Linked DNA regions of Macaca fascicularis. The protein of the gene in region 2 interacts with the protein of the main gene of each other region in a pairwise test. Links are inferred from orthologs where the notes say so. Each region holds a gene or a part of one and is shown on either strand. Other genes may lie near its edges. The genes, in order: FAM133A and THAP1.

What was found.
Region 1: the proteins of THAP1 (region 2) and FAM133A interact in binary tests that used the Homo sapiens proteins (3 or more experiments, as listed by UniProt). The two-hybrid records come from large-scale screens. The link is inferred for Macaca fascicularis from reciprocal best matches to the Homo sapiens genes THAP1 and FAM133A.

What each region holds. Positions count from the first base shown.
Region 1 is NC_088395.1:100,191,304-100,208,235, forward strand, and holds the start of FAM133A (protein FAM133A), read left to right. Parts: upstream 1-6,820; 5' UTR 6,821-7,301; intron 7,302-7,528; exon of another isoform or gene 7,529-7,784; intron 7,785-8,191; 5' UTR 8,192-8,264; intron 8,265-16,932. Other genes in the region: NAP1L3 (nucleosome assembly protein 1-like 3), read right to left, coding at 5,291-6,820.
Region 2 is NC_088382.1:46,369,572-46,384,403, forward strand, and holds THAP1 (THAP domain-containing protein 1), read right to left. Parts: upstream 12,315-14,832; 5' UTR 12,079-12,314; coding exon 12,008-12,078; intron 11,907-12,007; exon of another isoform or gene 11,728-11,906; coding exon of another isoform or gene 11,678-11,727; intron 8,214-11,677; coding exon 8,018-8,213; intron 7,153-8,017; coding exon 6,781-7,152; 3' UTR 5,490-6,780; downstream 1-5,489. UniProt on the Homo sapiens protein: DNA-binding transcription regulator that regulates endothelial cell proliferation and G1/S cell-cycle progression.

The DNA.
Region 1 (16,932 bases), on a different chromosome or scaffold from region 2:
TTACGTAACAAACCTGCACATTCTGCACATGTATCCCAGAACTTAAAGTGTAATTAAAGAAAGAATATAAATATAAAAAATGTACAATTATTACACATCAATTATAAATCAAATACAACTAAAAAGAGTGAAGATTTACATGCACTGATGTAGATAGTACTTCAAAATCTAAGAAATGAAATACGAAAAGTATAAAATAGTAGTGATGTTTAAAGACATATACATAGATATGTTTTCATATAAAATGTCAAATTTCAAGTAAAGTTTTAAATTATTTTGTACTTTTCAAAATATCTTCCAAATTTTCTATAGTGAACACATTTTATAATCAGAAGATGTAATAAAACAATATAATAGCTTTTAGTGAAGCACAATGCAAAGAAAATATGCTTAATCATCTTCAAACTAAGGTGATTAAACATAATAATTTAAAAATGACAAATATAATTGAAGAGTAAAAGATGAATGAAAAATCACTTGCAAACAGTAACTTTTAATGACACTACTATGGGAAGCAATAGTCTAAGTATTATTTTATTTTCTTTATAAATTTGTGTCATGCAAAATTCAAAACTATAAATAATCTAGGAGAATTTATGTCAATGGGTTTCTGAAAATTCTTAGCTCTATGTTGCTTTATTCAAGAGGTAGTTTGTAATGTACCATTGCATAATAAATAAGTCTATTTGTATAGCAAAATAATGCATGTACACCTGGTACAAGATGACTTAAACCCTTCCTACTTCTGAGCTGGAGGCGAACATATACTTGGATTCATTCTTCAAGTGTATTTTTCCTCAAGTAAATATTAGCTTTACTGAAAATTTCTGATAATTTTTACTGTTGCTCTCTAATAGCTATATGATAAAAATATATCATGAGGACTAAACTACATAGCAATAAATAAAGATTTCCTAGAGAATTTGCTGTGTTCTTCATCTCAAAGAAAGGTATACTTCTAAATACTATGTCTTTTAATACTAAAACATTTCACTTTTGATATTTTGAAAATATAATCTATAAAAAACACAAAATGTAAAATTTTAAGTAATGCATAATTGTATTGAAATATTATACTGCAGGTTATATACTCTGCTTCTTCAAATCATGTTGTTTTCTGAGTTCAGATGTTCAAAGTATTTTCCAGATCTCGAAAACTCAGCTTTTCCGTCTTATAAATAGTTGGATCAAGATCTGTCAGCCTTCCAGTTTGCTGTCATCCTAGGTTCCAACAGACTCTTCTGTTTAGTGTAAGTCTCTTTGCTGAATTAGAAAAGAATGTAACTTAAATTCCAGCAATCACAAAGTTACAAATGAACCTGACTTATTTTCTTCATGGGTTCCACCTTCAGGCACTGTGTTTCAAGAGAACTAAAGGAAATAAAGCACTAAAGGAAATAAAGCACTGAAGGAAATAAAGAGACTTTGGGAACTTCTTCAGTTTGGGTTGGAGTGTCCGATTTAATATGTGATTACCTTACTTTTAGAGGGATGTTTTTTATTTTCCTGTGATCTATGTGACATTCTTTACAGACCTCATTTTCTGAATATTCAAAGAGGAAGGGATCAGGAAATCTCATTTTAACATCAGCTCCTATCTTCTTCAACACCTTAATTTTGAAATATTTTGTTAAAATAAAATATAAATTATAACTTCAAAAAGTCAGCACTTGCTCAGTTCTTTAAGGAGTTTCTTCCTAAATCATTTTTCTCCTTTCCCATCTTTGCCCCTCCTTTTGTTTCTCAGCTTTACCAGTTACCTTAGAATCCAGATTCTCCTTATTCAAAACCTCATCACTGTCAGGACATTCACTTTGTAATCTATAGGCGTAATCCCACATCTTCATACATGTGTTGGTGGGCTCAAACACCTCATAAAGTGAAGATATATACCTTTTCCCAGAGCCTGCAATTCCTGATAAAAAAAAAAAAAAATCAGCTTCTATCTTATTACATCACCCTGAAGCTTTTTAACGGCAGATGAACTGGCATTGCCAGATAGTGTGGCACCTCCAGGCTTGGAGCACTCCAGGCTGCAGAACGTGACGTTTGCATCCTTTGACCGTGTTGTCACTTTCTTCGCTCACAGCTCAGGTTCCTTCCATTACCTTTTCAGTAGTCTCTGCTGCTGCTGCTTAGAGATGTCTCTTGTTATCTGAGTCTGCCACATTAAACAAAAAAGACCCAACATTTAGAATGACTAGGTGGATGCTCAGAGCCCAACTCAGGAGGGAAATGAGCTCATTAACAAGGAGGTGGTCTGGACTGCAAAGGAAGATAAAGAGGGGGTGGAGGAGCAGTCTGGAGGAGGGGGTGACCTTTTCCTTGGGCTGGGGGCAGCTGGCCTCGGCTTTGAGTTACAGCAACAAGAAACAGCAAACCATAAGGAAGGTGCAGAAGATGACTCATTGAACACTTCTCACTATCTTCTCTTCCCCTTAGCTTAGTTCCCAGCGGGCTGCTCCTTCTAACATCATTCATTGTCTGAGCCAGTGTGATGGGCAAACATGCAGCCCAATACGTGTGCCAGCCCACGAGTTTTCTGGCTCTACCCATCTTCCTTAACATGCAGAGGTGGCTGAAGCATCTACTACTGGCTGATTGCATTTCCGGTGTCCCATTTTACTGATGCATAAATCTTTGGCTCTCTGAAACCCTGCCCCGTCCCTAGATCTAACTTTAAAGTTAAAAAGAGCAGTAATAAAACCTTATCAAGAGATAAACTGGGAAAAAATACACTAATCCACAAAAGAGCGTATCTTAGTATAGTGTGCTTCTGAGTGATTTTTATCTTCTGCATTTCTGCTTCTATTTTGCAAATATTCTATAATAACATGTGTTCCTTTAATATGGAGAACACAGAAAGGGAAGGTGTTAAATACTTTGCTAAGAGTTCTAAGATGCAAAAAGTATATTGCATCCTATGCAGAAGTTTTAAGGGCTCTGCTCTTTGTGATGTCTGGCAAGTACAGTTTTTATCCAATTTGGGTACCTATGCATCAGGAGCCAGGTACACTATATTTGTTACATTCTTCATTTTAGTTTTGGCATATAAGTGAATCTGCCATATCCATTCTTCATGGATGCAAAAATCTCAAAAATAAAATAGGCACTGTAAAAAAAAAAAATGCAGTGGGCTAGACACAGTGGCTCATGTCTGTAATCCCAGTACTTTGGGAGGCTGAGGTGGGCAGATCACCTGAAGTCGGGAGTTCAAGACCAGCCTGACCAACGCGGAGGTACTCCGTCTCTACTAAAAATACAAAATTAGCTGGGTGTGGTGGCACATGCCTGTAATCCCAGTTACTTGGGAGGCTGAGGCAGGAGAATCACTTGAACCCAGGAGGCGGAGGTTGCACTCCACCCTGGGCAATAAGAGTGAAACTCTGTCTCAAAACAAACAAACAAAACAAAAACAAAACAAAACAAAACAAAAAACGCTGTGGTATTGCTAGAAACAATAATTTGCTTCCTCATGTTGTGGAAAATCATAAAGTAAACCTAACTATCTGAACACGTGGTTGGTTAAATATGACATCGGTTTTAATATTTTTACATTATAGAAATTGGGGAGTGACTATTGTTAAGCAGAATAAAAGATGCTAAACTATATATGGTGTGGTATGGAAGACTATTATAGATCATTTTATGCCTAGAGAGCCAGAAATTCTAAAATCCTGTCTTACTTTGGCTACAGTTTCCTATGAGGTTTTCAAGGAAAACATATGTGGACCCAGAAATGACAAATGTGAAATAAGACACCACTTTATTATATGTTGTGCTTTTCCCTTTATGTCCAGTGCAAACTCCCTGGTAAACTGAGTTTAAGTGTGAGGGAACCTCCTCACACTTATCTCAAAGCAAAATCTTAGGATCTCTCTGTGATCAGCTGCATGGTGAAGAGATGAAAGCATGGTGTCACCTGTAAGAAAAAATGAGTCAAGGTAGTGTGACCTTCCATAGCTTGTCTTACATATAAGTGGCGTTGTGAGTGAGGTACTCCTGCTCTCCCTCCCCTCTTCTCTCCAGTTCCCTTTGCCCCCTCCATTCCTTCTGCTACCCACCTTCCTCCCTTTCCCTTTTTCACCTTTCTTCTCCATCCCTCCTTTTTCCCTCCTCCCTTACCCACCTTCCTCCCTTTCCCTTTTTCACCTCTCTCTTCTTTCTCCTCCACCCCTCCTTTCTCCCTCCTCCCTTACCCATCCCCACCCTCTTCTACCTTTCCCTTCCTTTCCCTCCATGCCCTGTTCCTTCTCCTTGTCCCATTGCTCTCCAAAATCTTGAATGAGTGTCCTCCAACAGAAAAGCTAAGATGTGGGAAATACATCAGAATGTTAATAATAGTTATCTTTTTATTAAATTGTCCCCTTCCTTGTGATCCTCTACTTTTTTCTATGATAAGCATCCCTCTTTTATAGTCAGGAGAAAAGGCTAGATTTTCATAGTATAACACACTTTAATATTTATTTATTTTAAGTTGCAATAAAAGAACATGAAAAACAGTATCAAATGAAGTGATCATTTTCAGTGAAAGGGAAGGTAGAACATAATACAAAGAAAACATGGTATCTTCAGTTTACAATTACACAATATAAGATGAAGAAACTTTTTAAAAAATACTATGTCATATTAACACCTCAGTGGTAAACAGTAACATCATTATCATTAAATTTATAGGCCACTATATGTCACATACACAAGGTCTCAGTTGAATCAAATGTGGTCTTGACATTCTTAAATGTATGCTAATCTTTTTCAAGCAGTCAAACTTCAAAATACACTGTTTTAGTTACTATAAGTACTGGATTTCTATAGCAAACTAATGAAGGCACAGCTAGTGCAAGCAGATTTAAACGCTTAGTCTTCTGGGCTGGAAAAAAGAAAAAAATAAAGCACTTGCATTGGTACTTCATGAACTTTTTTTTTTCAAGCAAATATTTGTTTCAGTTAACAATTGTGACAGTTTCACAGCTACAGTCTAACAGAAACATGACCAAAGGACATCACAAAAATCAACACTGTAGCACCAAACTAACATGCTTTAGATAATTGACCACAGCTTACATATTTTGAAGAATATTATACTACAACAGTCTAGATAGAATAAACTGGCGCTTAGACACTTTTTAGGACAATTTTTAAAATACAGACTACCAAGAAACCACAAAAACATGACTATAAGGAATAAGAGTGTTCAGGTTACAGGTCAGGGTTTTACTTTTTTCAAGGCTGTATGAATCTGCTTCACTTCTTGAGATTTTAAGATTCTTGAAAGATCTTTCAGATTGACTTATTTTCTGTATTTCCTGTTTCCATAATGTTTGCCAAATTGATAGTAGGTACCATTGACTTCTCCAGTATAGTAATAGATTGATTTCAGGATGACATTATCATGTAAAATCTGCCCAATTTCAAAATCCTCATCCAGGATAGCATCTTCTCGTGGTTCCAGCTTCCCAATCATAGGAATCTCAGGAGGACTAAAGAAATTGAAGAATGATGCATTAGGAACCACTCTTGGCTGGATTTCAATTTCTCCAGTAGCAGTTGTGCGACTCTGAGTAGTTGTCACAGTAACATCTTTTCCTCTTCTCCAGTCTATCTTGCAGCCTTTGCAATCTTCAATTTCCCATCCCCAAGAAAAGAAGGGATCATTGTGATCTGGTTTTGACTTTATTATATATGTCTTCACCAGCACCTCATTTCTGAAGTATGGATTGGGTAGAAAATGAAATTCAAAGGTGTAACTTACAGGCTGGCCAGGTTTTGAGAACTTCAGGCTAACATCCGACAAGAACTTCAGAATGGGCTCATCATACTTCTGAATCATAGGCCCGAGCTTGTCAACATTCTTTAAAACAATCAGCCAATAGTCAGGAATGCCTTTAGGGTCTTCTCTTTTAGGCTTTCCCCTCCTAGCTCTTTTAAGATCTACACTGTCCTGAAGCCTTTCCTCAGGAACTCTTTTATGAGCCTCTCTTACTGCAGCCCTTGCCTTAGCCTCTGTTGCTTTAGGCTGTTCTTTATCATCTGCCTTTACCTGGGGGGCTTCTTTAGGATCTTCTTTTACTTCAGGGGTTGCCTCCATACAGTCTGCTTTAGAATCTGCTTTTTCTTCAGCCTTTATCTCAGGGATTTCTTTAGGAACTTCCTTTTCTTCATCTTTTACCTCAGGAATTTCTTTAGGAACTTCCTTCTCTTCAGCTTTCACCTCTGGGTTTTCTTTAGGGGTTTCTTCTTCCTCACCCTCTAAGGGAGGCATTTCACTAGGGGTGTTATCCTGCACCTCCTCATCACTGCTGAACTCCTCATCCTCTGAATTCCATTCACATTCTTCTTCTGTAGGCTCGTATTCTGCATTGATGATTTGAAACCGCCTATCATATAGAGGCTTGTTGAGTTCAGCATATTTTCTTTCAAGATCATGAATTGCTTTTAAGAACAGGGTGTCTACCTTGTCACATTCTTCTTGAATGTTTCTAAGCGCTTGCACACGATTTCTAACTGCCTGAGGCAGCCTATCCACGAAATTTGTTCCCAAGGGGGCCCGCCGCGCCCTGCTGGAAGGCTCAGGTACCCTCTTCTTTCTATATAAGCGGCTGCGGCTGCTAGTGCTGCCGCTGCTGCTGCTGCTGCCGCTGCCGCTGCTGCTGCTGCTGCTGCCGCTACTGCTGCTGCCGCTGCTGCTGCCACTAGTGCTGCTGCTAGAGCTACTGCTGTCAGATTCTTCCCCAGAATCACTAGTCGAGCTAGCCATCTCCTCTTCGGCAACCCCATGGGCGACGGGTTCCGAGACCATTTTAAAATCTGCTTCTGCCATCTTGCAAGCCTGAAAAACTCTACCGCGGAGACCGCGCGACCAGAGATGGGCAGAAAATGACTCACGGATGCTTGAGTGGCGGCGGCGGAGGCCCGGGCTGCGGAGGTGGCAGCGGCGATGGCAGCAGCGGCGCAGAGCGGAGCTGGAGCTGGGGATGCAGAGGCCGGCGCTGAGGTGGCAGCGGCAGTGGAGGCCTGGGCGACAGCGGTGGCGGCAAGGCCTCTCCCGGCTGCAGCTACACAGTGCCGAGATGTACCGCAGCCGAATGGCGCAGTATGAGACCCCGAGATCTCTTCTCGTTTTAGATCGCGAGCCCCCTCCCCTCGCAGTCAGACCTCCCGTTAATTTCGTTCCCAGTGTGCCTTTAGTTCGCTCCTCATTTGCTGGTCCACCTTAATTGACAAACCGTACGCCCAACGAACGGCCAAACGCCACTACTCCTGGCTCCGCCCACCTTCCCAGACGCTGCTCGCCGGCTGAGGTGCGACCCCCTGGAAGGTGTCCCCGAGCCCCCCAAAAAGTCTATATTTATAGTTTTATAATTAAAAGAGGAAAAAAAAGCGTAGACATGAGGTAAAAATACCAGCCATAGTTCCTAACAAGGGCAGAAGAGGCGTGTCTTCCTTCTCCCATCCGCCCATCCTGAATTCCCGTTTAGTTTGTCACGGGTCTCTTGACAAAAATCTGTAAAAGAAAAAAAAAAAAATTGAATGAAAATGGTCCAAATGGCGTCATTGGGTAGTGTGACTGTGGACGATTTAAAAACAAAACGATTTTCTCTAAATATTCTATGAGCAGTATTTTTACACTGGATAAAAAAGGGGAGAGTCGGTTATTGGCAGAGGGGGGAGGGACTAGACAGCAGGCGTATTGCATTCCACGAAGCTGATTTAATAAGTGCTGTCTGTGATGTTTGGCAAGCCTGGTTTATATCCATCTACAAGGTTTGCGAACCCATGTTGCCGTGAGTCAGTTACACCATTTTTATTATATTTCTCTTTTTAGGCTGGCATATTATATACCCCAACCTTGCTGCTAACTTGCCACGTAGCCCTTCTCAATGCTTGCAACAACCTTGTAGATAAAACAAAGAGTGTATTAAATGTTAGGTAGTATTGTTAAAAAGCAAATGATTTGCGTTATACTTTTGTGCAGCAGGTTTCAATTCCAAGAACAGTGGGATGGGAGGGGGAATTTGTGCTAATGAATGTGCATCTTCTGTCAGTGTATGCGATGTCATCTGCCACCAATTTCCTTCTAATGTTGTAAAATTCTAGCCATACTATAGTATGATTTACAAGTCCAGTAATATGTGAATAAACTTTTGCAAAATGAAGTTTAAAAACGGGTATTTGTTATTTTTATTTACAGGATTTTTTTTTTCTGCTACAGAACAACTACCTTGGTACAATAAAAAAGACGAGTATTTACTTTTCATTGAAAGGTAAGGATCATATTTAGCACATTTTAAAGAATGACAAAAATTACTCATCTCCATCTGAATAAAAGTTTACAGGATGCAGTCATTTAGAGATTTATTTTAGATAATAATCTTGATAATTCTATGGAAACAGGAAAATCCACAGAGGTAATTTGGCATACTAATGTAGACAATAGCCTACTTAACCACATTAACTATCTTAACCTGGTCATAGAATACAAGTTGTAAATTAAAATATGAAATATGATAAATTATTCATTTCAAATGAGGAACTGTATTAAAGTTAGATTAATCTTTATAGAATTTGTGCTTTGTCATGTAGTCACGTTTTTAAAAGTTATGAAATGCTTTTCTGTCTCATAAATGCATTTACTTTTATTGCATATCTCTAATTGTCAAAGTCTGTGAACATTGCAAAGATAAAACCTCAATACAGAAAATTCCAACAGTAGTAAAAACACACAATCTTAACCACCAAATGATAAGAATTACTAGCATTTTGATGCACTTCCTTCTAGAAATTTCCTTGTGCATATACATACCTGCCTATTTATGTATACTGCTTTATCTATGTGATACCATATTATGTTTTGTAGTCTTTTCATTTAATTTATCAGTTACTAATGGCTATATTTTCATGGCAAATGATCAACATCTTATTTTTAAATAAGTGCATATTCCATGGAAATAATTGCCTTAATTTATTTGAACAGATTCCTCTTATAGGGTGGCTATTTCTATACCATCTCTCCCCTTATATACATACTATTTTCCTGCTATAATAAAAGTGTCCCTGGATACCTAAAGCATATATTTCTATGCACTTCTGAAAATTGGTCATAAGATAAATTCCTAGAAATGAATGGCCTGGGAATGATCATTTCATATTATGGAATTATTATTGTATACATATTGCCAAACTCTCTGCAGAATGATTATCACAATTTACAGTTCCAACAGTGCATAAAGGTTCATTTTTTTTGTCATTCAGCTAATATATTTTTGTGCCTGTCGTATGCTGGGCAAATGTGGTAGAGAATTGTAGTATAATGGTGAATGAAACTTACTAAGTGCATATCCTTTCGATGAATAATTTTAATCAAAGCATATGTTATAGAAACAATGATTTACATCAATGGTGTTATACCATAAATATTGTTCTGAGACTCACTATTTCTTTTTAAATTATGGAGATTTTACAAAAAGTATGCTCTTATGTTTTAAACTTTGTAGCATCAGGAATTAGTATTTTAGAGTGAGTCATGAGGTAGGGATCCAGATTTTTAAAATACTTATTTTTATTAGCTAGCTAATTCTTCTAGTACCATTTATTTGGTAATCTTTCTATCTCCTGCTTACTTGAAATGCTACTTTGATCACATTAAATAAATTGCTTGGGTCTGTTTCTAAATTATTTTCTGATCCATTAGTTGCAAACAACTAATGAGTCGGTGTTAAGATAACTTTACATTTTGTGAAAATGATATGTGTTCATTGATAAAGTCAGACAATACATTGAAATACAAAGAAGAAATTAAAAGTAACTCAAAATAAAACTGAGAAGTAATCACTACTTACATTTACATTTGTAATCAACATCTCCAAATTAATTTATCAATATTAGTATTTGTATTTCTTAGATTAGTGGTAAGATTGTGTTTTCATATGTTTATGTTTATTTGAGAACTGTCTATTCATATTTTTTGTTTTCTACTGAATTAAGCAAGAAGTTAATCAATGGTGAAATCCTAAAGGTAAAATGATTTTGGCCTTGACTTACTTAAGACAACTATGATTTCTTCAGGAAATAATGCATGATATTGGGCAAATGTGACTAAATTTCATATTAAAATTGGTTGGGTTTTTTTTGGGGGGATGCTTGGGGGTTTTTTTGGATGCTTTTCAAGGATTACGGATAACTACTTAACCACTCACACTGATCCTGGAAAAGTTTGGAATGGAACATGGAGATGAAAAATAGAAAAAAGCTTACAAAAACATCATATAAAAATAATGTATTAATCAACAATTGTGATTTTCAATTTGGAATTATTTTTTCCTAGATATAGGCAATGAAAATGTTGAAAGTAGATGATTTTTTCTAATCACAATTCTCTACTTTAATTGTGTATCCATAAGTATCTTGTAACACACTTTTATTTTTGTAGCTTTTTTTTGGTTGATTAGTTTATTTAATTTTATGTAGTAGGTATCTAAAATAAAATAAGCTTTTTCTTCATAATCAATTTAATTGCTGCATTATATCCTATTTGTTCTACTGTGAAATGTACATATTAGTTTTATCATATCATATACTTATTTTTCTTAATAAGGTTATATATAAATTATTTGCATAGTGATATGTTCTTTGTTCAATTACTAGATGATTTTTTTGTGGGAGGGCGGCTAAATGTTAATGCTTCTACATGAGATGATACATAACACAGAATCTGATAGTATACTCAGACTGAACATAGTACATTAACATCTGTTGATACCTCCCTTAATATGAATATACACACAATCCCTTCCACCACCCACTCCTGCCACACAAACACACAAAGTGTATAATGACACGTGTAGCAGCATTATCTTTTTTTGTAGGTATCTAAGAAGCGAAGCATTGCAAGTTCATTTATTTTTGAATGACTCTTCCTCCTGTTCTTCTTGGACAAGTTTTATCTGAATATACAAGTTAATTCTTTTTAAAAAACCATTTTATTGATGTATAATAGGCACACAACAAATGTGTCTATCTGTGAAAGTATCACCACAGACAAAATAATGAAAATTGTATCATCCCTGAAAGTTTCCTCATATGCCTTTGAATCCCTCCTCTTGTCCCTAGACAATAGCTAATCTGTTTTCTGTTCCTATAGATGAATTTGCATTTTCTAAAATTTTATATAAGTGGAATAATGTAGTATGTTCCTCTTTTTGCCTGTCTTTGCAGAATTATTTTGAAATTTACCCATGTGGTTGTGTGTATCAGGAGTTTACTTTTCCTGTTTACTGCCGAGTAATTATTCATTACTTGGCAATACTATGATTTGTTGATGGGCATTTTTGTTGTTTTGAGTTCTGGGCTACTACAAATAAGCCTGCTATGATCATTTGTATATAAGTTTTGTATGGACATATGTTTTAATTTCTTTTAGCAAAATACATAGGAGTGGAATGACTAGATCACATGGTAGGTGTATGTTTCACTTTTTAAGAAATTACCTATTTTCCAAAGTGGTTGTTTTGCATTTCCACCAACAGTGCTAACATTTGATATGGGCAGTGTTTTAAAAGTTAGCCATTCTAATAAGTATTCAGTAGTATTTCATTGTGATCTTAATTTATATTTCTTTGAGAGTTCTTTATATACTCTGGATGCAAGTTCTTTGTCAGTTATAACTTCTGCAAATATTTTCTCTCAGACTGCATATTTTCTTTGAATTCTCTTAAGGGTGTCTTTTACTGTTTTTAAAGAGGAAACATTAGTAATTTTTATATTGATACATCATACATCATATTTTGGGGCACATGTGATTTTAATACATGAATACAATGTGTAATGGTCAAATCAAGGTAATTGGGATAAGAAGTTTGCAATTTTGATGAAGTACAATTTATCTTGTTTTTCTTCTATGGAACATACTTTGGGTGTCATCTCTTAGAAATCTTTGCTTAACCCAAAGTCACAATTATTTTCTTCCTTTTTTTTTTAAGTTTTATACTTTTAGGTTTTGCATTTAAGTGTGATACATTTTTGCGAAAAGTACAAGGTATGGATTGAAGGTTTATTTCTTTTGATGTAGATATACAGTTTTTCCAGCACTGTTTGTTGAATAGACTGTCTTTTCACCACTGACTTGCCTTTGCACATTTGTCAAAAATTAGCTGTCCTTGTATATGTGGGTCTGTGTTGGACTCTCTAATCTGTTCCTTTGTGTACTGATTTTAATGACACAATCGGTAGTTATCCATTTGTTAGATACATTTGAGAAAGAATGAGAACAAAATTGTGTGATAACAGAATTTCATTACAATGGAGACAGTCACAGGAGCTGGATCTTCATCCTTGACCTTTCACTTCTGCTCCCAACTATGTGAGATAGAGGGTCAGATAACAGCAGTAAAAACCTAGAACAGAAATAACAACAAAAAAAACATAAATGTTCTTCTATTTTGTGGAGTTGCCAGTGTGTAGATGTCTACAGCCCAGCCACAAGAATGGTAGTTAGCATTATTCAGGAGCACAAATAATGCCCTGTTTTTCTCACATCTGATAAAGAGAGACCTACTTGCTAAAATGGAAATATTAAGTAGAAAGTATATTCAAGCTGTTAATAAATTATGGTTCAAAAAAGAATAATAATAAAACATTGGTTGTTATGATGTTGCTATTATTAATAGTAGTAAATAAAACATTTGCTGTTTTATAACATTTTAAACGATAGCAGTGGTTTTCAAACAAAAATATTTCATTTTATACTTATTCTTATAATATGGATATACTCAAATGAACAGAAAATGGTATGTTGTTATAGATTTTTATTTTTTAAGGAACCATTTCTGAATTGCATTTCTAGCACTATACCCTTAACTGCATGGCGTTTAAAAGGGAAGTTAAAATTAATGCAATGTAAGGTAAGGAAAATTATTTCCCAATTTGGATATTTAACATAGCGCTATTTTTTTAAAGAAAATTTAATTGTCATGTAAAAATTACATATATTTTTGCCATATAACATGATGTTTTGGTATATGTATACATTATTGAATGACTAAATCAAGCATTTTAACATATATGTTACCTTAAATACTTATTTTTTTCTGGTGAGAACCCTCAAAATCTCTCTTACCTCCCTCCTGTCTAGCTGAAATGTTGTGTCTTTTTTTTTTTTTTTTTTTTTTCGCTTTGTCGCCCAGGCTGGAGTGCAGTTTGCCATCTCGGCTTGCGGCAACCTCCACCTCCCGGGTTCAAGTGATTCTCCTGCCTCAGCCTCCCGAGTAGCTGGGACTACAGGTGCATACCACCACACCTGGCTAATTTTTCTTTTCTTTTCCTTTTTTTTTTTTTTTTTAAGTAGAGATGAGGTTTCACCATATTAGCCAGGATGGTCTCCATCTCCTGATCTCATGATCCACCCGCCTTGGTCTCCCAAATTGCTGGGATTACAGGCATGAGCCACTGTGCCAGGCCATGTTGTGTCTTTTGAACAGTAGCTCCTCAAACCCCCAACTCCCAATCGTCTGGTAACCACCATTTTACTCTTTGTTTCTATGAATGTGACATTTTTATGCTCCACATGTAAGTGAGATCACGTGGTATTTGTCTTTCTGTGCCTGGCTTATTTCACTTAGCATATTGTTCTCCAGGTTTATGTATGTTGCCACAAATGACAAGATTTCCCTTTTTAAATTCTGATCAATACTTCATTGTGTATATATACAATATTTTCTTTATCCATTTATCAATTGATGGACACTTAGGTTTATTCCATATCTTGGCTATTGTACATAATGCTGCAATGAAAATGGGAGTACAGATATCTCTTCAATGTATTGATTTCATATCCTTTGGATATATACTCAGTACTGGGATTACTAGATCATATGGTAGTTCCATTCTTAAGGTAGTTTTGAGGAATGTCCATACTGTTTTCCATAATGGCTATACTAATTCACCTTACCAGCAACAGTTTACAAGGGTTAGCTTTTCTCCACATTCTCACCAACACTTAACTTTTGTCTTTTTGATAATAGCTATCCTAACAGGCGTGAGATGATATCTCATTATGGTTTCAATTTGCGTTTACCTGATTAGTGATGTCAAATGTTTTTTCATATACCTATTGGCCATTTGTATGCCTTTTGAAAAACCTCTCTTCAGATCTTTTGCCCATTTTTTAAATTATATTTTTTTAAATTACTGAGTTGTTTGATGAGTTCCTTATACATTTTGAATATTTAACCCCTTATCATATGTTTGGTTTGCAAATATATTCTGCCATTCCATATGTTGCCTCTTTACTCATTTACTTCCTTTATTTTAGGAACATTTTTAGTTTGATGTGATGCCTTTCGTCTATTTTTGCTTTTGTTGCTAATGCTAGTTTTGAATGTACAAACAGCATGTATTTTTCAAAATGTAAAACCACATCACAGAAGAATATTTTTACAAGGGTAATGAAGATTTTTTTGCCTGTAGTACTCATCTGAAGAATTTCTATCCTAAAATTCAAGTAAAGCAGACCTTTTTATTGCAAGTTTGAAAGTATTTTATTTAATTTTACTAAAAAGGAAGGAAAAATCCAGACTTTGAAAAATGAAAAATGCTTACTATAGATAGATATATCTTATGTGCATATGATATATATGTATATATCTTATATGATATCTTAGATCTATCTATCTATCTCTCTATCTATGCAATGGCTATTTCCCCATTTTGCAATTTATTTGGACAAACTAGAAGAAGCCCAAAGTGACATTTTCTGCCGAATTTTTTCCAGAATATCCAAATATATTTAATTAATTTCATTAGGTACCTCCTCTGAGAAAAAAAATAGTTCTCCATTCTGGTAGATGTTTCTATGAAAGTATATGTTTAGTATGTAGTATAGACTAATGCTTCAGCAAATCTGCTGTTGATACTTTCAAGGGAATGATAGCTAACACTTCACAATTCTCTAAGAAGTGAGTAAACAAACAAGATGTCAATGCACTAATTGTTGCTTTTGGTTAAAAAATCTGCTTCTCAGAGAAAGAAGAAATAGAGGCATGCATTCTCTAGATTCATTACTTTGATTTAGCAACTCTCTTAAAACAGGTGTAAACAAAATTTTAAAATGATAATATTGACCACGTTTGTCTGTCTTCTCTTATAACCAGCATTTGTCTATCTGAAAGAATGAGTATTTTTGTTTGTTTGTTTAGAGGTAACTGGATACCTTAATTAAAACTGTTTCATTATTTACATCATGAGAATGTGTTATAGCCTTCTTTGTAAGAAAGATTAAATATGACATGAAAAGAAAATTATGTAAATGTTAGACTAGTTGACCAATCTGCTTGTAGCAGCCCCCAAACTGCTCCTTAGCCTCTCAGATATGCTATACATAGTTCTTAGAAAGGTCTTTCTGAAAACACTTATATCCTTCCTCTAATCCTAAACTTTTAGTGATACTCCACTGTCTGGAATCAAACCAGTGTATAAGTACAAGCTGTGTCCTTTACCCTCTAGTGACCGTGGGCAAATTTCTTCACTCTCTATGCCTCAATTTCCTCATCTGTAGAATGGGGATAATAATAGTGCCCACCTCACAGAGCAATGGTGAGCTTGAAATGACATAGTACATGTAAAATTCTTATAACATGGTGCATGTCCAAACAGTTTTTACTAAACTTATCTTCTCCAGGAATAGTTACCCAATGGAACATAGTTCTTTAACTCTGTCTTTCCTTCAGAGCTTATTTGCTTGGGGTGTATTACATTTTTGTGTGCTTTATGATAAACATTATAACAGAGCCACATACATCATTTGTTGCGTGTACACACACATGTTCTTTTCCTATGTATATTTTAAATTTACCTAGGAGACGGACCAAGATATTTTTTTATTTATAATCCTCTGTCCTCTCTCAGAGAATTGCTCTGCACAAGAATACATTTAGTACTGTACTAATTAACTTCTTAAACAAATGAACTGGCTTCCTTGCAGCAGTACCAATTTTTTTTTTTTTTTTTTTTGAGACAAACTTTTGCTCTTGTTGCCTATGCTGGAGTGCAATAGTGTGATTTCGGCTCACTGCAACCTCCACCTCCCGGGTTCAAGCCATTCTCCTGCCTCAGCCTCCCAAGTAGCTGGGATTACAGGCATTCACCACCACGCCCAGCTAATTTTTGTATTTTTGATAGAAATGGGGATTAACCCTGTTGGTCAGTTGGTCCCGAACTCCTGACTTCCAGTGATTCCCCTGCCTCGGCCTCCCAAAGTGCTGGGATTACAGGAGTGAGCCACCACGTTCAGCCAGCAGTACCATTTTTTACTTGCTGTTCAAATAAAATTTGTTTTAGCCTTTAATTGCATTCTAATTTAACAATTGTCTCTTAATTGTGCCTGATTTACTGATGCATAATTGTTATGCAACAAATTACATTAGTTTACTAAATTTTCAGGTTTTAAAGAATTGGTGTTTTGCCAACCAACTTCTAAATAGTAACACCTCATAAACTATTAACAGTTAGGAGGACACACAGAGTCTTCAGGAGAAAAATTTTGGAATCTAATGATGATCCACACTTAATATTAAATTAAAATGTCTGTTTATTTAACCCTTTTATTTCATTAGTATTTTATTTCTAAAGGACAATATTCCTAGATAATTATTGCAAAATTGCTTTACATATAATGAGCATTTAAAGGAAAATATAGATCAAATTACCAGAGCTTCTTATTTTAATAAACAGTACTCTGAATATCTCATAAAATGGCTACCCTAATGACCCAATTACTTTTATTCTTATCAGAATCTGTTGCTTGAATTAAGCATAATCAAACTTGCCACATTGCATTTTCCTGTCTCGTAAATTACTGAAAACAACTTCCCTCCAATTTCTTTGTTGTTTAAAAGATACTTTTCTTTGGAAAGTCAAGTCATATTTCTATTATAATTA
Region 2 (14,832 bases):
CATCTTCCCAGAAGCAGCCCCCTTTACCTTCATGCTTGAAAGATAATATTGCTACATAGAAGATTCTTGATTGAGTTTTCCCTTCAGCACCTTGAATATGCCATCCACTGCCTTTTGGCCTCCATTTTTTTCTGAGAAAGTCAGCTGTTGCCCTTGGAACTAGTCATTTTTCTGTTACTACTTTCAAATTTTTGTCTTTGGTTTTCAGCATTTTTTACTATTATGTCTGGGAGTGGATCTCTTTGCAGTTATTCTGCTTGATGTTTATTGAGCTTCTTGAGTGTGTGCTTTTTTATCAAACTTGAGAAATTTCTAGTCATTTTTTCTTCAAATATTTTTTCTGCTCTCCCTCTGCCCCTCTTCTTCTGGTACTCTCATTAAGCATATTTGGTGTGTTTAATGGAGTCCTGTATTTCTCTGGGGCTTTGTTCATTTTTCTTCATTCTTTTTTTTTCCTGTTTTTCAGATAGCATGATCTCTACCTCAGGTTTACTGATTTTTCTTCTGCCAGCTTGAACTACTGTTGAGCTTCTTTTTTCTTTTTTTTTGTAGAGACTGAGTCTTGCTGTGTCGGCCAGGCTGCAGTGCAGTGGTGTGATCTTGGCTCACTATAACCTCCACCTCCGGGGTTCAAGCAATTATCCTGCCTCAGCCTCCTGAGTAGCTGGGACTACAGGGGCACCACACTGCACCTGGCTAATTTCTTTCGTATTTTAGAAGAGATGGGGTTTCACCACGTCTGGTCTCGAACTCCTGAGCTCAGGCAATCTGCTCACCTCGGCTTCCCAAAGTGCTAAGATTACAGGCATGAGCCACCATGCCTGGCTAATATTTTTTGGGTTTTTTTTTGTAGAGATAGGGTTTTACCATGTTGCCCAGGCTGGTATTAAACTTCTGAGTTAAAGCAATCTGCTCACCTCAGCCTCCCAAAATGCTGGGATTTCAGGCATGTGCTACTGTGCCTGGCCCTGTTTGCTCCTTTATTTCATTACTTGGCTGCACTAATTAAGTTTATATCTTCTTCAGTGTGAAGTCTCTGATTTCATTCCTTAAAAGGTGTAGCCTTAGGTATACAGTCACCAGGGATAACAGTAGTTTCAGCAGGTCTGTCTTTGACTGCTTATTTTGCTGTGTTTGTTGGTTTCACACTCAGCTGTTAAGTCTCCAATTTCCCGTTGATTTCTCTATTGTTTTTGACAATGCCCCAAGGCATGAATGGCTCCACAGTGTGATCCTATTAAATTTGGCCCCTGCTTTTTTTTTTTTTTTTTTTTTTGAGATCAAGTTTTGCTCTTGTTGCCCGGGCTGGAGTGCAATGGCGCGATCTGGGCTCACTGCAACCTCTGCACCCTGGGTACAAGCAATTCTCCTGCCTCAGCCTCCCAAGTAGCTGGCATTACAGGAATGCGCCACCATGCCTGGCTAATTTTGTGTTCTTAGTAGAGACAGGGTTTCTCCATGTTGGTCAGACTGGTCTCGAACTCCAGACCTCAGGTGATCCACCTGCCTTGGCTCCCCAAAGTGCTGGGACTACAGGTGTGAGCCACAGTGCCAGCCTCTGACCCAGGAGGGCCCTTCTTAGCTGTCTCTTCCTTTGGTCCTTTCTGGTAAATTACTAACCTACAATTTAGCTGTTGTTGTGGAGCTACTAACTTCCTCTTGTTTACCACTAAATTCTCCATTGTTTTTGAGAGCATCCTTAGGGTTGAACTTTCCCAGTGTTCCAAATTGTCAGTTTGGAAATAGATTCGGAAATAGCTTCAGAGCTCTCTATTCTTTTTCTTAAGATGACGGAGTCTCGCTTTGTTGCCCAGGCTGGAGTGCAGTGGCACCGTCTCGGCGGGGTTTCACCGTGTTAGCCAGGATGGTCTCGATCTCCTGACCTCATGATCCGCCCGCCTCGGCCTCCGGAAGTGCTGTGATTACAGGCGTGAGCCACCACGCCCAGCCAGAGCTCTCTGTTCTTATAACCTGCATCTCCCTTGGGAAAATCTGAGTCATTGCTCTGGAGCTAGGAGTGAGGAAAGTGGCCTGCTTCTCTGGGAGTTACATGCCTGCTTTATGGGCTCAGTTGAGACTATATCCTCAGTTGAGACTACAACCTCTGGGGTTCTTGGCTTACTTCTCCTGGCATGGAAAATTCATCTTGGAGAAGGTGATCAAGGCCCTCTGTCTTGGCCTGCCATACCTATGGTAGACCCTCCACCTAGAGTGGAAGTTGGTTGTAGGGAGTCCCTGACCTCTTGGCTGGACCCTCCTGGAATTTAGTCTCTGCAACACAAAGCTAGAGGGACATGAAAATACTGGCAACCAGCCCCTCCCTGAAAGATACCATAGCCCTTGATTGGGAGTTAAGGGAGTACGATCTTCTTGACCATATCCAAGAAGATTGAGTGGAGCTTCAGAGTAGAGCTTCTATAGCACCGAGTTGGGATAGGGGGTTTGGTTAGGGAGAAATGGGTTGTAGCCTAAATGCTACAGACTCAATGTCCTTATAGAGATTTAGTAAACTTTCCTTATCATTTCTTCATTTGCTATATTCCCTTAGGACAATTGGCAGAGACTTTAAATGGTTATTTAAAAAAATTTTTTTCTTGCCAATACACTTTGGAAGTCATTTTTCTATTAAATTATTGTTTGTATTCTACGGTTTTACTAAAAACTAAAACAATGAAGTTTATTTGTATCCCTTAGGATATTTTAAAAATAAATTTTTTATAATCTCAAGACATAAAATACTATGAATTTAAAGAGAACAAATAAAAATTCAACAGATTTTTAATTTAAAAAATATTTATCATTCAGAAAAATCTCAGTAGAATAAAGCTATATCCAAGGTTTAAAAAGACATAGAATTATAAGAGAACATTACCTTCAGCAAATTTTTCTATTACTTTTAAGTATAATAGTATTGCTTATTTGCAAAGCACTGTTGTTGCTCTTCAGTATTTTTCTTTCATTTGAGTGACTGTACTTTAAAACACAAGACTATATAAAATCATAATGCCAAGCAACACCATTTACCATCAGCTGGAAAATTTATTCTTTTTCTTTAAATGCTATTCAGGGTGGACTATCTTTTTAAAATTCTGGAACACAAATGGATTTTAAAATACGTTGTTTACTATCAACTTTCTAAAAGCTATAGGTGGTGGATATGTGTACACATGTATTTTTTTTTTTTTTGAGATGGAGTCTCGGCTCTGTCGCCTAGTCTGGAATGCAATGGCATGATCTTGGCTCACTGCAACCTCCACCTCCCAGGTTCAAGTGATTTTCCTGCCTTAGCTTCTTGAGCAGCTGGGACTAAAGGCGCACGCCACCACGCCCGTCTAATTTTTGTATTTTTAGTAGAGACGGAGTTTCACTGTATTGGCCAGGCTGGTCTCAAACTCCTGACCTCAGGTGATCTGCCCACCTCTGCCTGCCAAAGTGCTGGGATTACAGGTGTGAGACACCGCACCTGGCCACACATGTATTTTTTTTTAGCACTAAAAGATGATCAGGGAATATTAATGCAAGCTAAAAAGCCCATATCACGTGAAACTTTCATTTGCCATCACAATTATTATAATTCTAAGAAAGGGATCACATAAATTACAACTGAAAGAAAAAAAATCCCCTCATGTACTTGGATTTCTAAGTACAAAGTTTTGCTATGTTCTCACTGCAACAACAGAATTATTTTTAGTACACATAACTCGTATACAATTAGTAAACATTTAAATTAGTTGTTAAAAACTTAAAACTTCAATTGGAATGTGATAATTCAAGCCAACCAGCAATTCAAGTGACCTTTATATTTGTATTATAAGGCAGTATTAAAAGATTGAGACCGGCTGGGCGTGCTGGCTCACGCTTGGTATTCCCAACACTTTGGGAGGCCAAGGCAGGCAGATCACCTGAGGTCGGGAGTTCAAGACCAGCTTGGCCAGCATGGAGAAACCCCGTCTCTACTAAAAATACAAAATTAGCTGGGCATGGTGGTGCATGCCTGTAATCCCAGCTACTCGGGAGGCTGAGGCAGGAGAATCCCCTGAACCCGGGAGGTAGAGGTTGCAGTGAGCCCAGATTGCACCATTGCACTCCAGCCTGGGCAACAAGAACGAGACTCCTTCTCAAAAAAAAAAAAAAAAAAAAAATTGAGTCCTTGTCCCTGTTTGTGTCAGACTGTTTCACTATGCCTGAACAGAACCTACTTTTCTTGGCAGACCTTCTTTTCTTGGCAATGTTATAAACAATACAATAGTCAATTCAGAAATAAGTACCTGCGCCTCAAACTTCTGTTTAACTACTATGATAGATTATTTAAATGAAAGCAGTTGGCATACATGCTGCTTGCTTAGTTCTCTCCAAATGGGGATTTATGTCTGTTATGAAAAGAAAGTAGCTTGAGGTTAAATAATAATGCTAATATGCTAAGTAATTATGATTTCCATTTTTATAATCTAACCTGGATTCTTCATTCTGGGACACACACATAGGATTTATCTTTTATGTAGAAGAGTACTTAGATTGAAGGTATATACTTTTCTTTTTTTTCTTTTTTTTCTTTTTTTGAGACGGAGTTTTGCTCTTGTTGCCCAGGCTGGAGTGCAATGGCGCCGCCCTCACTCACGGCAACCTCCGCCTCCCAGGTTCAAATGATTCTCCTGCCTCAGCCTCCCAAGTAGCTGGGATTACAGGCATGCGCCACCACTAATTTTGTATTTTTAGTAGAGACAGGGTTTCTCCATGTTGGTCAGGCTGGTCTCGAGCTCCTGACCTCAGGTGATCTGCCCGCCTCGGCCTCCCAAATTGCTGGGATAACAGGCATGAGCCACCGTGCCCAGCCAAAGGTATATACTTTTCAAAGTATTCAGGAATAAATCTAAATATTCCTGAGTACTTCCAGGAATTGCTAGAAAGACAACATATAAAACCAAACTACTTGAATACTTTGTAGCCTCTAAAAACAGTTATGAGTTCCATGAATAATCTGTAAAAGTCTTCTGGTTGATCAGCATTAGTTCTAAATGATGTTATCAGACTATGTAACTTCAAGTAATTTTTTTTTTTTGAGATGGGGTCTCGCTGTATTGCCCAGGCTGGAGTACAGTGGTGCCATCTCAGCTCACTGCAACATCCACCTCCCAGGTTCAAGCAACTCTCCTGCCTCAGCCTCCCAAGTAGCTGGGACTATAGGCGCTCGCCACCATGCCCTGCTAGTTTTTGTATTTTTAGCAGAGATGGGGTTTCACCATATTGGCCAGGCTGGTCTCGAACTCCTGACCTTGTGATCCATCTGCCTCGGCCTCCCAAAGTGCTGGGATTACAGGCGTGAGCCATGGTGCCCAGCCCAACTTCAAGTAATCTTCCAATCATTATTTCTATTTTTGAGATACTGGTTCATAAAACATCAAATATCCATGAATCACAGTGCTATCCACTGGCAGCATGGCAGTGAACTACAATGAAAACCAGTTCTACAAAAGACACTTTGAACACCATTGTTTCACACCTTTAATACTGTCTTAAAGGGTCTATTACTCTTCAACTATCTTAGTGTACTTTGAAATATAAAAGTAATAATTATCATTGGAACAGTTATTCTAAATCTAAATAACTCCTATAGTAATATTTGTTTACTCAGAACATATTTTCATTTCCAATATATGTAAAATTTCTCACAAATATAGAACAGAACTCACAGTTTGAACAGAAACCTCAGTGTTTAAATCTCCACATTCAGTAAAATAAACACTACATAGTAGGTTGTTCTGAATATAAATCACTCATTTAAGTAAATGGGATATAATTTCTAACTTGTGTTAAAAGTGAAGAAATCATTTTTTATGTGAAGCCTTGCCCCAACTCAGTCAAGTGCAAGATTATCATATGATACAAATCAAACTCTACTAACACAGCACATTTGTCAGAGACATTGAAGGCAGATACATAACTACAGCTGGGGAACTGGATGTCCTTCAGCTAGAGGGTAATGAAAGAAAAAAGCATATCATAGATCAGGCCCCAGTTTTAATTACTTCATTGATGACAATGCCTTACTTTATTTATTGAAGAATGTTTCTTCCACTGAAAATACACTTCTAATTTTATAATGCTAGACAGTAGGGGGAAAAATAGGAGCCCATTAAAAAAAAAAATCCACTCTTAGAATCTAAAGTTATTGATATTGATCAGATACGCAATGACTCTTTTCTGCTGTGAAGACAATCAAATCTTTTTTTCTTTTTAAGTACTGACTTGCCAATTTATCTTTGATAACTGATTCAGAAACATAAATGAACCATGTGACTTTACATATGAGAATATGTACATATATATATATATTCTGAGAAGTTATGTCCCATGATCTGACCCATACTTCTGATTTAAAATATAACTAAGTTCTCTCAATAAAACAGTACTAATTTTAAGTTTTAAACTGAAGTCACCCTTTTACCACACTGTTCTCATTCTCTTTACTTTTTATTTTTACATTATTTCTATAAATACTAAAAAAGAAAAAACCCAAATCCCCAGTCTTGAAACCAACTTACATTAGAGGTCTGACGTTAGTTTATAACTTTTAAAATATTTTGTTAAAATGTAAAAAACCTGAAATTACAAACAAAAAAATTTATACTTTTACAGTATATATCGAATTTTTTTAAAAAAATATTCTGAACTGTTTTTATATATGTAATCAAGTGTTATTTTTTTAAATGAAACTCCTTTATAGGCTAGAGAAGGATATGTGGTATTGCCCCATTAGAAATCAATATGCATTTCATTTTTTTATGCTGGTACTTCAACTATTTCAAAGTAGTCATTTGGTAGAATCACATAACCTCTTTCTGATACGTCGTCTTTCTCTTTCTGGAAGTGAACAACCTCCTTTAATTTTTCAAGCTGCCGTTCTTGCCTTCTGCATCGCTGCTGTGCGGTCTTGAGCTTCTTTCTGAGTTTTTCAACTTGCTGTTCTAGCTGATGAATCCTTTTCCGCTGATGCATTGTATCCTCCACAGTATAGTTGTGGTCACAGAAAACTGAGAGATTAACAGGGGTCTGAAGAGGTGGCATTAGTAATCCAATAGCAGCATCAACCTGGGAAACAGGAGGCGGTAAAGGTGGTGGAGGAAGCTGTTCCTGTGGCTCCAGATCTTCTTTCTAAAACAAAAGTACAAAGTATGTTTGAATTTAGTAACTAAAAATAACAGTTTAAAACAATTTGTGGACTGACCAGGGGTAGTGGCTCACGCCTGTAATCCTAGCACTTTGGGAGGAAGAGGTGGGCGGATCACCTGAGGTCAGGAGTTTGAAACCAGCCTGGCCAAACATGGCGAAACCCCGTCTCTACTAAAAATACAAAAATTAGCCGGGTGTGGTGGTGTATGCCTATAATCCCAGCTACTCGGGAGGCTGAGGCAAGAGAATTGTTTGAAACCAGGAGGCGGAGGTTGCAGTGAGCCAAGATCATGTCACTGCACTCCAGCCTGGGTGACAGAGAGACTCTGTCTCCCAAAAATAAATAAATAAATAAATAAATAAATAAATAAATAAATATTCTGTGGAATTTAAGAAATATTAGACTTTTGTGGTGAATCAGTGGTACAGAAACATTCCAAAATGAGAAAACAGTTTCAGTTTGAATAAACTTTTCTACCTGCAATAAAGGGACGGTGCAAGAAAGAGACAAAATGAATAATCAGATCCAATTAAATACTAAGCACTGAGGAGAAAAAAATGCTTTGAAACTAAACTGTCACTGATAAAGAAAACCCAAAACTTATCAATATATAACTGGCAGTACAGAGTGATTTTTAAGTAAGTTACAAGGGCTGGACTAAGTTTCTTAGTGTGAGGATATTTATCTTAAATAAACCGCATTTTGTGTTTTCAGAAGTGTATCACTGTTAACTACACAAAGTTCCAGGCACATTTATTCTCTTTAACTGAGTTTTCCACATTTTAATCAATGAACATATCAGTTTGATAAACAGAAAGCAACCCAATATTTTAAAACGCATATTACCTTGTCATGTGGCTCAGTACAAAGAAATATTGTGGGCACAGCATTCTCTTTCAGTAACTTGTTGTTGCACTCTCTCTTAAAGCAGTCTGGAGTAAAGTGCTCTGAACAAATACTGCTATACTTGGTGGGTTTAAAGTTTTTTCTTCTGACAGCTGCCTCCCATTCTTTACAAAGACTGGGTCGAGTAAGAGGAAACCTAAGAAGAAGGCATAATTCAATTATCTGTGCTGATTTTTTTAAAATAAAGGCACCCAAACTTTCCAACGTAGGAAAGATCTTACATTGGTATTAAAGATGTTACAATGGTATTATCATACTGGATTAAAGATTAGCTCTAGTTATCTATCTCATTTATTAATTAAAAAAAATTTTTTTTGAGACACAGTCTTGCTCTGTTGTTAGGCTGGAGTGCAGTGGCGCAATCTTGGCTCACTGCACCTCCACCTCCTGGGTTCAAGTGATTCTCCTGCCTCAGCCTCCCAAGTAGCTGGGACTACAGGCGCCTGCCACCACATATGCTACCATGCCCAGCTAAGTTTTGTACTTTTAGTAGAGACGGGCTTTCACCATGTTGGCCAGGATGGATTCGATCTCTTGACCTCGTGATCCGCCCACCTTGGCCTCCCACAGTGCTGGAATTACAGGCGTGAGCCACTGCGCTGGGCCCTCATTTATTAATGTTTAACTTTTTATAGTGAGTTCACCAAAAGATTCAAGTAAAATACATACTATAGAATAAATGTGCCCGTGGCTCATGTCTGTAATCCCAGCACTTGGGAGGCCAAGGTCCAAGAGACTGCTTAAGTCCAGGAGGTTGAAGACTAGCTTGGGCAACACGGCAAAACCCTGTCTCTACAAAAAATACAAAAATTAGCTGGGTATAGTGGTATGTGCCCAGGTACTTGGGAGGCTGAGGCTGAGGTGGGAGGATTCCTCGAGCCTGGGAGGTCACGGCTGCAGTGAGCTGAGATGGTTCCACTGCACTCCAGTCTGAGTGACAGAGCCATACCCTGTCTCAAAAAGAAAAAAACTGTATTCTATTTTTACCAGTAATTTTCTGTGTGCTGCACAGGAAGACAAACATTGCACATTTGTATCTATGTACTGGGAAAGAGGGGCTTCTAGTTCTCTTAGCATCAGTCTGGACAAATACGAACAGGGTAAATTTGAATTAAAGGCAGATAATAATGAAAGAAAAGTATTTATTTTCTAATCAACTGGGATGTCCATTAGGCCCAGGTAAACGGGGATAGTGAGAGTTTAAATTTATTGTGGTTTTACTCTTCCAAATTAAGGATTTGGTAAACTGGGGGGATTAGAAAAAAAAACAAAGGAAGGGGGTTTTGAATTTACGTTTCACAGTTTTCTCTTCCATGTACAATATGCTAGAGCCTGACTCTGCTAGTAAGAGATCTTTATGACAGTCCCTTTTCTTTGTACAACATAGCACTCTCTGCTGCCACTATGCAGACGGTGGGATAAGTGGTACTCCTAGAAAATCTCAGCTGGGGCTGGGCGTGGCCTGTAATCACAACTGTAATCCCAGCACTTTGGGAGGCCGAGACGGGCGGATCATGAGGTCAGGAGATCGAGACCATCCTGGCGAACACGGTGAAACCCCGTCTCTACTAAAAAATACAAAAAACTAGCCGGGCGAGGCGGCGGGCGCCTGTAGTCCCAGCTACTCGGGAGGCTGAGGCAGGAGAATGGCGTAAACCCGGGGGGCGGAGCTTGCAGTGAGCTGAGATCCGGCCACTGCACTCTAGCCCGGGCGACAGAGCCAGACTCCGTCTCAAAAAAAAAAAAAAAAAAAAATTAGCTGGGCGTGGTGTTGCGCGCCTGTAGTCCCAGCTACTCAGAAGGCTGAGGCAGGAGAATCGCTTGAACCGGGGAGGCAGAGGTTGCAGTGAGTCGAGATCGTGCCACTGCACTCCAGCCTGGTGACAGAGCAAGACTCCATCTCAAAAGGAGAAGAAGAAAATCTCAGCTGGAAATGGCCTCTATACGTATAAACTAGGGTGGCATTTGCTGGTAAAATTCCGTACCTATGGCCTCCTGGCTCTGTAAGCATAAACTATGGTAGCATTTGCTGCTAAAATTCAGTCAGTACCTAGGGCCTCCTGGCACAAGGACCACAAATTTACAGCTGTTTGTGAGATTCTGTTAAAATCTTTCCCATCTACTCTCCCTAAACCTGCTCTTTTAGATAAGGGATAAGATGCAGGTTAGCTCTTCTTTTGATTCAATCCGTATGTGTTTAACACCTAGCAGAAACAGTTATTTCTCTTTTTTTTTTTTTTTTTGACATGGAGTCTGGCTCTGTTACCCAAGCTGGAGTGCAGGGCAAGATCTCAGCTCACTGCAACCTCCATATCCCAGGTTCAAGCGATTCCCCTACCTCAGCCTCCCAGGTAGCTAGGATTACAGGCGTACGCCTGTATTTTGTATTTTTAGTAGAGACGGGATTTTGCCATGTTGGCCAGGCTGGTCTTGAATCCTGACGTCAGGTGATCTGCCCACCTAGGCCTCCCTAAGTGCTGAGAATTACAGGCATGAGCCACTGTGCCTGGCCAAAAACACAGTTATTTCTGACGTGTGAATACCCTCCTTAAACTTGTTTCCAGTGCCAGTGAAACATTTTCCATAATTTTAGATTCCTTCTGCCATGCCATCAGAAATGTGGGTGGGGAGCTGCACATGTAATCCTGTTACCATCACCTGACCTTTTCCTACATTTCGAAAGAACATGTTTACAGAAATTCCAATTAAATTAAGAGACAATATTAGGATATCCTGAACTGAATCCTGTAAGTGTTCTACCCCCTTCGCCAAGGGGTAACATCATTACTCTGGAGACCTATGTTCTACACTCTCTTATTTCTATAGGTTCCATCTCACATGATATCAAACACTTAAAAAATGCATGGACACTCCCCTAGTAAACATAGATGGCTCCACACCAAAATAAAAAAATTGAAAGGATATTTAACATTTTGCTTTTGTAATTACCTAATTATAAAAGATAATTAGCTAATTACCTATGACTAATTTGTATAGTTTACCCCTGGATCTGATTTCTTAGCTATCATCTGCATATAGTTGTCAGGAATTCTTACAAAGAAAACTTAACATAAATGTAATTAAAATTTGTAAACAAATTCAGCTGAATGTTATGTCACATTTTACAAGCGTTTGATTATCATAATTGCAACTTTGCACTTTTTTTCCTATTTTCAAGAGAATATTTTTGATCCTAGCACTCTTAACTGTGCTACCTATTGGATAAGACAGCTCTGAAAGCTGTGGGGCAGTTTCTTTCGAAAGAGCTTCCTCTATGCACAGGTAATGCCGTAATAAATAAAGATCAGTGTGAGTCATTTTATTATGATCCATGTTGTAACTATCCATATTATCATTATTGTGTGCTGAAAAGATAACGATTTATCTTGGCAGTACCTGAAGCTTTCTTCAAAACTCAGGGTCCTTAAAGCTTAGTTCCTAGAGATTTGGGGCAAAAATTCTCCAGGATTTCCCAGCCAAAAAACCCTTAATTGCTACGATGCTGGCCTCCCATCCACGACAAGGGAAAAAATAGTGATTTCTTCGTTTGAAGGCCTTTGTTTATATTTCAAATTTACCCCTAAGACGTTATTACAACACCTGGCTGCTCGTGACCCTGGTGGCGGCAAAACCCGCGCCACCATAGGCATCGCCCGCGGGCTCCAAACTCGTCAACCGAGGCCTGGAGCGAAGCCTGCAACGAGGACCTGTTCCGAGAGCGCAAGAAACAACCGCCGCGGAGACGCGCGCCGAGAACGCGCGATCGGGCGACGGTTCCCAGCAGGACGCGGCGGGAAACGCCTCGCGCGGCCGGCCCCAGACCCCACCCGCCCCTCGCGCGGACACGCGCCTGGCTCCGCCCCCGGCCCCGCCGGTCGCGCGCCCCCACCCTGGCTAAGACCGGCCCCGCGAGGCGCGCAGGGTCCTCACTTGTGGAAAGAAACGGGCTTGTCCTTGTCGTAGCGGTTCTTGCAGCCGTAGGCGGAGCAGGACTGCACCATCCTTCCGGTCTTCAGGCACTTCACTTCTGCCGCCGCAGAAGGCAGGGGAAGCTGCTTTCAGTGTCGCCGCGCTCGGTTGGACACCCTCGCTCTTTTGTAGCTTTGGCCAACAGTTACAGTGATGGTGGCCTCCCTCGGGGGTGACTAGTGTGCCCGTTTTGTTGTTTGCATTAGCAGAAGGACCACAGCCATCGCCCGTCTCCCATCTCCAAGATGGCGGAGGCAGCTTCAACCTCACCTCTCGCGAGGGGTGCGTCCCACTGTCTCTGATTAGCCCCGAGGTCAGAGGTAACGATTCCTGGGAAGCTAACTATTGGCTGAGGCCAGGTGTTTCCGGCGGTGGCTTCAGAGTTGCGGAAGTGGGCGGAGCCCTGAACTTCCGGTAGGCAGGAAGAAACAGCTTGCGGGGGAGGAGGCGCGGCGGGAGGCTGGATTCCAGGGGCATCCTCCAGCCCGGGCTGTTCCCGTGGGTTAATTGATGCGGAGCTTTTCTGGGGCGGCTTACAGTAGGAAACAACTAGGGCCTCATGGAGAACAGGTGTAAAGCCGAGGTCGTTGTCTGATTGCGCCCATTTCTCTAAAAGGGCGGACACAGATGGTGTATGATTAATAAAATTGTGGAACCTTTTCCCAGAATGCTGATCTTTTTCCCATTACCTGTGTCTTCAGGCATCACAAGTCTCTGAGAGCCAACGTGACAGGTTTTTAGCAATGAAAAAAGACACACTCGCCAAATCATCTGAATTGCCAACGCAGAAGCATTATATATATGTATATATGTATGCATATATACGTGTGTGTGTATATATATATATGTAATTTTTTAAAAAAATAGAGGCAGGATCTCCCCACGTTGCCCAGGCCAGTCTAGAACTCGAGCTGAAGGGATCCACCTATCTCGACCTCCCAGTGGGTTGGGATTACGGGAGTTGAGCCACCAGGCCCTCCCTCCCCAGAAGCTTTTGTGAAGGGCTGTCCATTGCTGTGATTTCCATGTGCGGTGTTGCAAATAGGGAGCTGCTGCAGCAGTTTTCACATCTGAGAGAGAATATGTCAGAGGGGTTCGAAATAGAGCGACTCTGTGTTGAGTGAGGGCTAGGAAAATGAGGCTGGGACTTGCTGGGCTGCATTCCCGGAAAGTTAGGTGTTCCTAGCCTCTAGATGTATACCATTAAGGCAACAGATTGATAATGTTTACTAAACAGACCCAGACTTCGAAGTGTCCAGGTATCTCGATATTTTGAGAACAGAAGCATTCCTAATTTTGCTTTAAAGATAATAATGGACTGGGCACAGTGCCTCACGCCTGTAATCCGAGCACTTTGGAAGGCTGAGGCGGGCAGATCACTTGAGGTCAGGAGTTCAAGACTAGCCTGGCTAACATGGTGAAACCCGTCTCTACTAAAAATACAAAAATTAACCGGGTGTGGTTGGCACATGCCTCGAATCTCAGCTACTCTGGAGGCTGAGGCAGGAGAATCGCTTGAATCTGGGAAGGCGGAGGTTGCAGTGAGCCGTCCTTGCACCACTGCACTCCAGCCTGGGCGACAAGAGTAAGACTCTGTCTCATAAATAAATAAAGATATCGATTCTTACATAATATAGTAATTAATCCTTTATCACAAACCCTTGTAGCACAGCACATGTCCCCATGATCTTTTTTTATTCTATATATAAACTAAGTGTTGTACTTAGGGTGGATGCGTTCCTTCTCTTTCTTTCGGGAACACTCTGTCTGTGGAGTAGCTGTACTTTCACCACTTTACATTCTTAATAAACTTGCTTTTGCTGTGCACTGTGGACTCGCCCTGAATTCTGTCTTGCATGAGATCCAAGAACCTTGCCTTGGGGTCTGGATTGGGACCCCTTTCCTGTAACAGTTTTACTTCATTCCCTGCTCCTTTTCTTTATATAGATCTGAGCCAGGCAAACCTGGAGAGCAAAATGTTGAGTAATCCTTTCGCCCTTATTCTCTACCTTTCCTGCCCCTTTAAATGTTGGTGTTTCCCCAGGGTTCCATCTTCTGGCCTCCTGTAACTCCTAAACACCCTGCTCCTTAAACTGAACCAAATACCATAATTCTCTCATGTTTTATTTCCTTTGTATATCCGTTCTGCCTTTGGGATTATCATCTGTGAATTATCTGTTCAACAGTTGCCTAAACCAGAAACCTTGGAGTCATCTTGGATTAGTTTTTGTCACCCATAAAATCCTTTGATGACCAGGTTAATTTTATAGACTAAATAAATAAATGCCTCTTAAATCCATCCCTCTGCATGTCTCCTCACTGTTCTTTTTTTCTTTTTTTTTTCTTTTTGAGAGGGAGTGTCGCTCTGTCGCCCAGGCTGGAGTGAAAAGGCACGATCTCAGTTCACTGTAACCTCTGCCTCCCGGGTTCAAGCAATTCTCCCGCCTCAGCCTCCTGAGTAGCTGGGATCACAGGCACCTGCCAACATGCCCGGCTAATTTTTGTATTTTTATAGAGACGGGGTTTCACCATGTTGGCCAGGCTGGTCTTGAACTCCTGACCTCAGGTGATACGCCTGCCTCGGCCTCCCAAAGTGTTGGGATTAGAGGCGTGAGCCACCGCGCCCAACCCTCACTGTTCTTTAATTATTTTTATTATTATGTTTAATAGAGATGAGGTCTCACTATGTTGCCCAGGCTGGTCTCAAACTCCTGGGTTTAAGCTATCGGTCAGCCAGGGCCTCCCAAAGTCCTGGGACTACAGGTATGAGCCACGGCGCCTTGCTT